2 linked regions of the Oryctolagus cuniculus genome follow. The protein of the gene in region 1 interacts with the protein of each later gene in a pairwise test. Links are inferred from orthologs where the notes say so. Each region holds a gene or a part of one and is shown on either strand. Other genes may lie near its edges.

Region 1 (5,730 bases):
GGGTCTACGTGGCTAACTGAATGACAGTACCAGCTGGAAGGCAGGCTTTCTGGAACCCATTGCTCAACATGCTGACAGCTGACCCCTCTTCTTCCTGTCCAAACCACTTCCGCTTCTGGACTTACCTATTTTGTCAGCAGTGCTATCATTCCTGACACACCCCCACTCTGGCATTTTTTTCTCTTCCCCTTCCCCCTCCAACTGCTTATCAGTTGCTGCATCCCATGGGCTCTTCCTTTTTAACAGTGCTAAACATGGGTCTTATTTTCCATTGAGATGAATGTTACTGCTGCCTGGGAGTGAACTCACACACATCATTACCTCCTTGCCTCTACCACACGTCTCTGCTAGGAACTTTCCAGAAAGCTCCCAACAGCACTGGCCTCACCAGCCCTGGAGACCCAGCCACACACCTACCCCAAAGCACTGACCCCGCAGTGCTCACCAGCTCCCCGGGTGTGCCTACTCCCCGTAGCCCCCACCTAGTCTCTAAGTATAGCTCACGAACTTTCCCACAGGAACCTACTGCTTTCTGCTTTCCAAACACCCCTGTGTAGCTGTGCCTTGCATTCTGCTCATGCCGTTCCCATCAAATGCCATTCCCTTTCCTCTCGGATTCTTAAGTCCTGCCGGCCCTTCAAGACACACCAGCCCAGGAAGGCTTTCCTAACTTGCCAGCCCCAGGCTGGCTCCCTGTTCTGAGTTCCTGTAACTTGTGCAATTCCGCAAATCTCACTGGCACCTGGCATTTCTTCCTGTACAGTACCTGAGTATCCTCAGACATGGATGCTATCAGATGACTCTCTGGATGCTTGGATTAGAGGTCCCTCAGGGTCGCTTTAACTCACAAGATCTCATCCGAACTGCAGGGCACGCTTTGCCTCGTGCTTTTCCATTTAGGGCATTTATGTAATACCGAACCCAGCACTTCGCAAGCATTCATCCAATTACTCTTCACAACCACTATATGGGGTAGTGTTAATTTTTAAAGGGGAAACTGGGGCTTGGAGTTCACCTAACTTGCCCAAACAGCAGATGAGATGTGGAGCTGGGGATTCTATCCCAGCCCCATCTGACACCCGGAGGCCAAACCTCTCTGGGAGATCACTTCGCTCCCTTGTCCCAGACTCCAGAGCACAGAACACAGTGCCTGGCATCCAGCTGATGTTGGCTCAGTCTTTGTTTACTGGGGCTGTGGCTCTTATCTCCAGATGGGCCCTCGGGCAGTGAAAGGACCAGAGGAGCTGCGAGATTAACTTAAGGCCCAGGAATGGGGAAAAACCAACATTGGACCGGTGATGTCATCCTCCCCTTTAACCTCCCAGGGCAGAAGCGCAAGAGAATGTGCACCAAATCCTCTAATTCCAAATCTGGAGCCACGCCCCAGCCAGCCCCTGCAGAAACTCTCTCCCTTCCCATTGTCTGACCGATGGACCCACCACACTGATGCCCACCCCATCTCTCCCAAGCCACCTCCACTGTGATTCCCTCCCCCAGCACCCTGGTCTCGGCCCTGACCTATCTCGCCCCCTCACCTGGTTTTGCTTCTGAGCAGGTGGGGGCACTGGGTGCTGCTTCTCCTGCACGCGGGGCTTCTCTTTCTGCTGAGCATAGGTGAAGCTGGGGGGTTGAGGGGAACCCGTGCCAGTGGAAGAAGCAGCTTCCGGAGGTCCCAGCTTTTGACTGGGCTGTGACCCAGGGCCACCGGGGGCTCCAGGGCTGAACTTGGAAGCCACGGGAGTAAACTTGGGAGCCACTGGAGAAAACTTAGGGGCTGGTGCTGGAGGTGGAGCTGGAGGACCTCGGGACTGCGCGTTAGCGGAAGACACAGGCTGGGAATGAGCCTGGGGCTGAGGCTGCACATGCAGCTGGACCTGAGGCTTGGTCTGGGGCTGGGCCTGGGGCTGAGCCTGGGGCTGGACATGGAACAGCGCTTGGCTCTGAGGCTGGGACACGGGCTGGGAGCTGGGAGGTGCCTTCCAGGGGGGCAAGGGTGCTGTGCCCCCGGTCGCAGGCTTAGTACTGGACTTGGGAATGAATGGAGTGGCAACTGGAGGGGGCACATATCCAGATGACACCTGCAAGAGAGGCAGAGGGAGAGAAGCAAGTTAGAGGCAGGGGCTGCCCTCCACGCTTCCTTCTCCAGTCTCTCCTCCCTGGCACTCAGGGTGCCTACTCCCCAGGCCCTTACCCGGGCTTTGAAGGGATCATTCTTGGTCATGTCATCCAGCAGTGAGGACAGAGAGTCGATCTCCAGGTCGATGCTGCTCACCTTCTCCCTGGGCTACAGGATCAGGGGTCAGAGCATCCATCCCCGTCTCCCATTCCCACGCCACCCCTCCCGCAACAGGGCAGAGGTACAGGGGCAGGTCACAGCAGGCCCCCTTCTCTCCTTTCCTTGAGGCGTCCCAGTGCACTGACCCCTCCCCAGGCCTCCATACCTGCGGCGGGGGCGGCATGGGGGCCTCGGGCGTGCCCTCATCCTCCAGCGGGGGCGGTGGAGAAGGAAAGATGTCCTCCTCGGAAGGTGCAGGGGGGAACGGTTCCTCGATCGGGGGAGGCGGCGGGGGGAAGGCACCTCCCAGCGCACCCTCCGCGTCGTCGCCATCCCCAGGTGGGGGAGGCGGGGGTAAGGGAAAGTCTAGGGCGGGGAGAGAAGCGGCCATCGGCAGCGGCCCCGCCACCGCTGCCCCAAGCTGCCCTCCGTCCACAGCTCTGACTCTAACCCTAACCCAAGAACTGCCTCGGGGGTCCTGGAGTGTGCGGGAAGGGAAAGGAGGGGTGCAGGGCGCCCAGGGGGGCACAGGTCAGGAAAGGCCGGAGGTGGGGGGGCACGGCCGAGGAGTGGTGCGGCTCCCGTTACACTTGGGAAAACGGACCCACAGGGGAAGATTCGTGGCCCACATTCCCGCCTCCCACCCCCAGGCGGGGACTTGGAACGATCCCAGGAGCCCTGGCTCCCAGCCATGAGCTCCACGATGAGGTAAGAACATCTGCTCGGGACAGGGTGGCTGCACCCAGCCCCCTCCGCAGCTACCTTTGCAGGCGTCCCCCCGCCCCTTGCTCAATCCCACTGCCCCCACCCCGCCGCCCGCGGGGGTCCAGCCCCTCAGCCCTGCCGCATACCTTCCGGGGGCGGCGGGGGGATCTCGCCCACCCGGCCCATCTGTGCGCGCTGGGCCCCGGCTGCCGCTGGAGGCTCGCCGTCCCCGGGCCGGAAAGGATTTACTTTGGGCTTCGGTGCCACCACCGGGCCGAACTTCTTCTGCGGGGCGTAAAACGCCGGAGCCGAGACCGAGACGGAGATCGCGGGAGGCGGGCGGGGGGCCGCCATGGCCTGGCCGGGCTGCTGGGGGTGGGTCTCCAGGTTACGCGGCGCCGAACTGCGCTGGGCTGGGCAGGAGACTCCCCCGGAGGCCCGAGCGCCTCCCGACGACCCCCACCCGCCGCCTCCCGGAGCCCCGCGCCCCGCGCCTCACCGCGGACCGGAGCGTGCGCGCCGCGTCTCCAGTGGCCGCCTCGGCGCCGGGTCTGCGGACTGTGCGTCCCGGTCCCGAGCAGCCTCCAGCCAGGCGGGGGAGGGACGCAGGGAAGAGGAGGGAGGGCGGCAGGGGGCGGGGAGAGAGCGGCGCCGCGACCATACAAGGAGCGGCCCGGAGAGGGGGCGGGGAGAGACAGGGCGGGCGCGGCAGGAAACTCCCCCAGGAAGGGGCCCAGATCCTGCCCTGGGCCGAGGGCTCCGCTAAGGTCCGCCCGCCCCCGCCGCACTCCCAGCCGTGCTCGCAGCCCTGGCCGGTCGCAGACCACCCCTCCCTGAGCACAGGCCTCTGATGTCATTTCCTGACCTGCCCCCCCACCCCCAACTCCGCGCCCGTCAGCGGGTGCCGGAGATCTGACTCACTGGCCCCACTCCGGGCTGAGCCGGCGGAGGTCGAAAGGGTCCCCCGAGGCAACGGAGCGAGCAGCCCCCTTGCGCCTCCGCCCTGGCCCAGCCGCCTCCTCTGGGGCCTGCAGTTACCTGCGGCCCTGCCACCCTCACGGCTGCACCTCCCACGCCGTCGGCAGCACCGCGCCCCGAGAACCCACCGGCCAGCGCTGGCTGCAGGACCAGGACCAGGGCCGTTCTCGTCCCGCGCCCTCCTGGCAGGCCCTTCGGCGATCGGTGGCTGTGTGAGCCTGAACCTCTTGCGACCTAGGGGTATCGTAACTTCCAACCCTAGGCAGCCTCTGCAGGCTTCTAGGAATTCGCAACACTGGCGCCCCCGGCTGCGGATCAGTTGCGCCAGAGATATTCTGGACCAGCGGGCCCGAGGGAGGTAGGTAGGGGGCTGCTCAGCCCTGGCCAGGGCAGCCGGAGGATCTAGTAGGACCCGGGGAGACGTGGACGCGAGCAACAAGCCTGCCACAGCTGAGCCTCCGCCGCGACCCACGCCTTCGGGAGCCTCCCGAGCGACACAGCTCGGTAGAGCCCCCACTCATCCGACCGGGTTGCTCAGCCCCAGGCTACGCCAAGGAGACCAAACCTGAGTGCCACTTTTTATTTTTTAATTGCGCACGGAAACTTACCCAGTGGCTGAACTCCACGCTTGCAAAGCTATGGAGTCTAGGCCTTTGCCCTCTAGTCCAGTATCCACCCACTCTCCACTCTCTCATTCCATCAGCCCTGAGTGACATCTGAAACAGACCTCTTGTTGACTCAGTGTCTCCGCCCTGGCCCTCCAAACCGACTGAACCCCACTGCCAAGGAGCATCTGGGAGATGCTTTTGAGAGCATCCAGACTCGCCCCTTACTTCACGCTGGGGAAGTGGAGGCTGCCCGCTGAGGGGGTGGGCCCGGTCACACCCACGAAGCAGCCGGCTTCCTCCAGCACCTGCCGTCAGGTGGAGCAATGCTAGGGCCAGCCTGACGCCCAGGCCAGCCGGCCTCTTCCCACTTCCCCTTCTCCACTTGTGAAAGAGCCATGGTGTTTCACCCACCCCGCTTACTGCATTCTACAGAAGTAAATGAAATGCCATGTCTGCAAGTGCTATATAATCCTCAGTGTTATTATTTTTTAAAAGACTTATTTATTTGAGAAGCAGAGTTACAGAGAGAGGGAAACACAAAGAGAGAGGTCTTCCATCTTGGTTCACTCCCTAAATGGCTGCAACGGCCAGAACTGGGCTGATCTGAAGCCAAGAGCCTGGAGCTTCTTCCAGGTTTCCCACGAAGTTGCAGGGGCCAACACACTTGGGCCATCTTCTGCTGCTTTCCTAGGCCATCAGCAGGGAGCTGGATCGGAAGAGGAGCAGCGACACTTGAACCAGCACCCATGTGGGATGCTGGCATCACAGACGGAGGCTTAACCCACTACGCCGTAGCGCCGGCCCCTCAGTATTATTAGCATCCACATCTCAGTTCTGCCAAGGATGGAAATTCTGTCACAGTTAAACTGAGGAGTTCCCCTCATGTGTCCTCTTCTGGGAATGCGCAACACTGTCTTCTTCCTGCTGCCTTACTAAGTCTGTGATCGTACTTAAGACTACGTGTTCATTGCTGTCTTGGTTTTTCTTTGCTCTGGCATCTTACCGTCTCGTCACCAGTGTCTCACAGGCAGAAGCATGTGTGGCCATGTACGTTAGGAACTGCACAGGCACACAGCTCTCCGACAGCACAAGCCTGTCCTCCGCCAGTCCCTGTGAAGGGCTATTAGAAATTTGAGGTTGGATTTCCTGATTGAGTCTTGGGTT
Region 2 (5,688 bases), on another chromosome or scaffold:
CTTAGCTTCCCAGAGCCATGCTCTTAACCACAAGGCTATTAACAGAAGTTACAGTTTAGCCAAAAATTGTAATGTAATTACATTGGGAGGGAAGGGCAGGGAGCACCTTAAATCTTCCTTAAGCTCCCACGACCGGAGGTCAACAGATACCCAAAACTAATACATCAAGAAATACCACTATAAGTATGTTATTCAGAAACATGGAGGCAAACACCACACAAAGGAACTAGAAAAGGAGTTGAAAGCGGTTACTTTCCTGGAGCAGAACCTGGAGTAAGGATTGTTAGTCTCTTTTAAAAGTATTTTGGATATTATTAGATCTTTTTATTTTTTAAGATTTTATTTATTTGAAAGTGTTACAGAGAGAGGAAGGGAAGGAGAGAGAAAAAGATTTTCCATTCACTGGTTCTCTCCCCAAATGGCCACAATGGCCACAGCTGGACAGACTGGAACAAGGAGCCAGGAGCTTTATCTGGGTCTTCCACCCAGTGCAGGGCCCCAAGCATTTGGGCCATCTTCCACTGCCCTCCCAGGCCATAGCAGAGAGCTGGAATGGAAGTGGAGCAGCTGGGACTCAAAGCGGTGCTCAGAAGGGGTGCTGGTGTTACAGGCAGCGGCTTAACCTGCTGTGCCACAATGCTGGCCCCGATTAGATCTTTTAAAAATCATACACACATATTCCTTTGATGAAAAATGATGGAAGTAAAGAACAAGGGAGGGGGAAGAGGGTGAAACATCATCCATGACGAAGCCCAAGGTCATAGACATCTGCTCTTTCGCCATACAGCTTCTGTTCCCCTCCACGGCTACCAACACGTGTGGGGGAGGCAGAGGCCAGCAGCCCCCTCTCCCTGGAGCCCAGAGCAAAAAGTCCTAACACAGCTGGAATCCATTCACCTAGAAGCAGAAAGCCTCCATCACTGCCTCCCAGGCCCCAGGAATCACTGGTTAGAACTTTTTATTAAGCTTTCCCTTAAATTCTGTGAGCTGACCCATTTCTTTCTCATAGATTCCTCTTCTGTTGAAGCTAGCTGGGCCCACTCTCTGTTGTCTACTGTAACCAAAGAAATTTAATGGAAATATCTAATGAAAACAAGCTTAAGGTTTATTCATTTCCTTCAGTATAAAGATACTATAGTGGCTTGCAAACTTTGACTTAAAAACACAGTTTACATCAGGATCCAGTAAGCAAACACACATAGGTAACATGTATGTATATAATATACATACATGATATGTATGTGTGTAATATGCTTATGATTGAAACAAAGGTTTTGCCAAAAAGTCCTACCCTTGCTAACACTCCAAGAGTACTAATTCAATTTCTTTTTGTTTGCTGGTTCTGACCCACTAAGTTGAGTTCCAGCCCACCATGCTTATATGATCTGCAACTGAAAAACACCAGCTCCTTGTACCTACTGCATTTGTCTCCAACAGTAGAAGTAACCTGGAGAGTGTATCGGCCACATTTCCATGTCTACATGTGGCATGTTAAGTAAGGCCTGGCTGCTGGGGAGACACCAACAGGGTCCCAGCATGCCAGCTCCCACTAGGATACCTCATCAGTTCAACTGCAGAAGAGACATCTGCGCATATTTCTGTCCACTCACTTTGTACATGCACTGAGCACTGGTTCAATGGTCTGAATATACAAGAACTTCCTGGGGACTGTGCAGGGTCATAAATTCTATCTGTAGGCTGGCTCAGAAGAGAGGAATCCAGGACACAGCCTGCTTCCTGACTGATTGATTGTTTACCATCTCCTCCCCTTCCTTAAGGGCCCAGGAATGTCTCCCCGATCCCGGCGATGGTTATTTCATGACCAGCCTGAGAGTGAAGTAAGTCCCAAGTCCAGGCTCCGAAGAGAATGAGTGGAATTTCTGCCTACCCCTTGCTCTAGAGGTCCCTAGCTGTACACTGATCTGTGGCTGGAGACTGAATTCCTTGCTTACTATGTTCCTACCTTGTCTGCCTGCCCCAACAGACAAGCTGCGAAAACATGACAGGATAGCAAAAGGTGACAATTCATTCCAACACTGCCAATGCCTGGATCGCAAGACGGCCTCTGGACCTACAGCAAGCAAAAAGAAGTCCAAGCACACTCTCCTTTGATCCATCTCATAACCATCTTCCCTGCTTCAACCATCCCAGAACAGTGAGCCGCAAGGAGGATGGTTTCCACCTCTCCAGGGTCCCACGGCTGAGGGAGTGGGCGATTGGGCAGTAGCAAGATCTGTATTGCAATGTGGCAGAAACGAAGGGGGGACTGTGAACACCATTAAATGATCCTCTGGACCTTAAACTTGAAATGACCACCTATACCACACACGCTCTTTGAAGAAGAGCCCTAAGTCAGAGCAGCTAGATAAACTCGACCTTGAGGCAGGCGGAGACCGGCAGAGAGCCAGGAGATCAGATGGAGGAGGTGGCACAGACCCCCAATCACCTGGCACCCGCAAAAGCTTGGAAATCGATGGAATGCACACACCCATGCTAAGTTCCCCAGCACAGCCTGGAAACGCTCAGCCACATATGGTAAGTTGGGGTGGGGAGGAAAACTGGGAGGGAGGCCAGGCAATGCGGGGAGGGGGCCTATGGCCTTGATCGGCATTAGCCGCACCTCTCCACAACCCTCACGCCAACCGGAAACCCTCGCACGGGTCACTTCCCTCCTTTCTCAGTTCAGATTCTAATCCCCTTCATCTACCTGCCCAGGGTTGGGCGGCTGGAGACGGAAGCAAAACCGACAAACCGTCCCAGAAGCTCTGGGTTGGCCGAAGGGGGGGCGGGGGGGGGGGGGGCAGAAAACCGGCAACAGGGAAGAAGGAGAAATCCGCGAGAGGTGACCCCCGGGTGGAAAGCTCCATCCCGGTTAACGAAAGGCAGAGCTGGCCAGTCTCTCGGAGCAGCAGGAGTGCTACCGCTCCCATCCGCCTCGTCCCGGGCCCTCCATTCCCAAGCTTTCGGTATTCACCCTCCGCCCAAAGCGCCAGGAGATTCTCTGAAGGGTTTCTGCGGTCCCCAGGACCGACGGAAAAGCGCGGTCTGCCTGGTGGGACACGATGTCCGAAAGGGTACAAGGATCCCGCCCCCTGAGCCTACACTCACAGGACGCCCGAGAACGCGGCCCAGGCTACGGGCGCCGAGTCCCAGGCGGCAGCCGCAGTGTCCTCCTAAAAGGGCAGGGACGCCTTGGGCCTCAAAGGTCTTCATCCCGCCACCCCCAGGGGCTCCCGCTGTCCGCCGCGAGGCGACACAGAAAGGGAAGCGCCGCGAAGGGCTGAGCGCACGGAGACGGCCACCAGGTGATGTCAGCGAACTCGGCGCGGGGCATCCAGTGGGGAATCAGACGCCGGGCAGAGCACACGAGGACAGCGCCGAGCGCCTTCTTACCGCGGGCTGGCCCTCCGGCTGCACGTCCACCAGTGTACACCAGTTCCGCGTCCCGTTCATCTTCTTCCTGCGGGGGCCCGCAGCACACAGCCTCAGCCCCCAACCCCACTTCTCCGGCTTCTCCTAGGCTGGCGCGCGACGGGTTGCCCCCTTGTATAGAAGCGTCGGGAGGCGGCCTGAAGATAGGCCACGCCCCCGGGCGCTGTTCGCCAATTAGAACGAGCGAGAAGGTGAGATGGGCGGAGCCAAGGGGCTCTCGTTCACGCCCCGTGGACTCTCGCTCGGATTTACGTAGAGGTGTGGCTTGGAGCGTCCTGGGCAGCTTAACTGAACAGTTTCGTCTAGGAAGTGTGCTTGTACCCCAATACGCTTCGTTAATCTTGTCTCCTTTCAACTCCAACATCAGAACTGGTCAGAGGAAATCACTCTTGTCTGCCCCTGGCGAGCTGGAACCTGTAGAAGCTTCCCTACATCTTCCCATTCCTGTATATAAGCCAGCCTGTAGGTTTTGCGGAGCTGAGACAACCTTCCCTCAGCCACAGAAAGGCGGGCACCAAAGGCCAGCTCATTCAGACTGGCCTAAGCCAGTCTGGCAGGTGCCCTTCCCTGGCAAGCCGCCCAGGCCAAGTCAAAGCCAGCTAGGCTCTGGGTGGGGCTTGTTTTGCAGAGGCTATTATACCAAAGCTGCCCTTATATGGTAGGGAGAGGCGGGACACATGGCCTTTAAAGGAATCTGTGGTTTTGAGGAAGGCTGAGCCTCAGCCTTCCAATGGCATTTGCTCCCCAAGCTTAGGCTGGGATCTTGAGGCCTAGGTTAGCCAAGCAGAACCTGGAGCCTCTTCCCAGCCCAGCTGCTCTCAGCAGGGGGCTGCTCCACTGGCCTATGACCCACACCAACAGCCCCCAAATATGTCAGAGGCAGGTCTGACCCCCCACCCCACCCCCCAGAGTGGACAGCGTCCCAATATCTGGCAATAGGCTCAAGTGAAGGGTTCACTCCCTTCTTCAAGGCAACACAAGGGCAGGATTCCCCAACACACAAGGTAAAGACTACGTCCCAGGCCAATCGGGAATGGCTGGTGATCTTTTTACCCAAGAGGTGAATGCTGGAGATATCTTTGTGACTCAAGGGAATAAAACCTTATTCTGGTGTGTTCTCCCTCTAACTCTCAAAGAAGGCATCTTTTTCTTTTTTTTCTTAAAGATTTATTTATTTGAAAGGCAGAAATAGAGAGAAGGAAAGAGACAGAGATCTTCATCTGCTGGTTCACTCCCCAAATGACTGCAATGGCTGGAGCTAGGCAGATCCAAAGCCAGGAGCCAAGAGCTTCTTCCGGGTCTCCAACGTGGGTGCAGGGGCCCAAGAACTTGGGCCATCTTCCACTGCCTTCCCAGGCCATTAGCAGGGAGCTGGATCAGAAGTGGAGCAGCTGGGACTTGAACTGGCACTCTCATGGGATGCTGGCACTACAGGCAGAGGCTTAACCTTCTACACCATAGCACTGGCTCCCAAAGAAGGCATTTTCTGGCCTTGCTATTCCCAGAAGGTTATTCAGGAGAGAATGGAGAATGCTATGAACACTTCCTAAGCTCCAAGGTCCCATTCTATCTGTTGTAAAGGGCCTTTGAAAAGCACTGTCAAGAAAACTCCAGTTTCAGCCTCTGAGCTGTTCAATAAAATTACTTCTTCCTGAAACATGGACTTCCAAATAGCCCAGGAAAAAGAATACGAAGCCAAGAATCTCAACGCAGATATATAATTTTAATATTTAATTTAAAGTACAGTCAAGGTTGCATTGGATTGGAAGAGAACGTCTGATTTGCAGAAGAAAATAAGAGTTTTTTAAAATCATGAAATTACAAGTCGTTGGTGAGAACAGCCTCCTTCTTCAGGCTGCCCACAGGACCTGCTCAGGAAATGCGAGGTGAATCATCCCTCTAACCCCCTCCCTGCCAGGGCTTCAGTCCCCCCAAAACCCAAAGGAGGAGGAAGTCTCCCATCGCCTCGTTCCAGTTCTGTCAAGAGTCACCTTCTGGGCCCAGGAAAAAACCCTGAACCAGGGCCAAGTTCCTGAGAAAATGAAGGTCCCTTGGTTCCCTACTGAGACTGGGGGCATCTGGGTAGAGAAGCCACAGGAAGACTGCAGAGAGTGGGACCATTGCTTTGGAACTGGTAAAGACCGCAGTCAGGGCTCCCAGGTGCAGCTCCTTCAAAACCACCTCGGTAGTCACAGAGGAGGGAGGACGGAAGCCCTGAGCAGACCCCAGCCCCCACCACCTTCTCACGGCCCTACA

Evidence for each region. The genes of interacting proteins can lie anywhere in the genome.
Region 2: the proteins of ZYX (region 1) and TUFT1 interact in binary tests that used the Homo sapiens proteins (3 or more experiments, as listed by UniProt). The link is inferred for Oryctolagus cuniculus from reciprocal best matches to the Homo sapiens genes ZYX and TUFT1.

The regions. Positions count from the first base shown.
Region 1 is NC_091434.1:180,377,324-180,383,053, forward strand, and holds the start of ZYX (zyxin), read right to left. Parts: upstream 3,672-5,730; 5' UTR 3,642-3,671; coding exon 3,480-3,641; intron 3,350-3,479; coding exon 3,127-3,349; intron 2,642-3,126; coding exon 2,442-2,641; intron 2,285-2,441; coding exon 2,192-2,284; intron 2,079-2,191; coding exon 1,536-2,078; intron 1-1,535. UniProt on the Homo sapiens protein: Adhesion plaque protein. Binds alpha-actinin and the CRP protein. Important for targeting TES and ENA/VASP family members to focal adhesions and for the formation of actin-rich structures.
Region 2 is NC_091438.1:46,546,946-46,552,633, forward strand, and holds the start of TUFT1 (tuftelin), read right to left. Parts: upstream 3,600-5,688; 5' UTR 3,454-3,599; coding exon 3,394-3,453; intron 1-3,393. UniProt on the Homo sapiens protein: Involved in the structural organization of the epidermis. Involved in the mineralization and structural organization of enamel.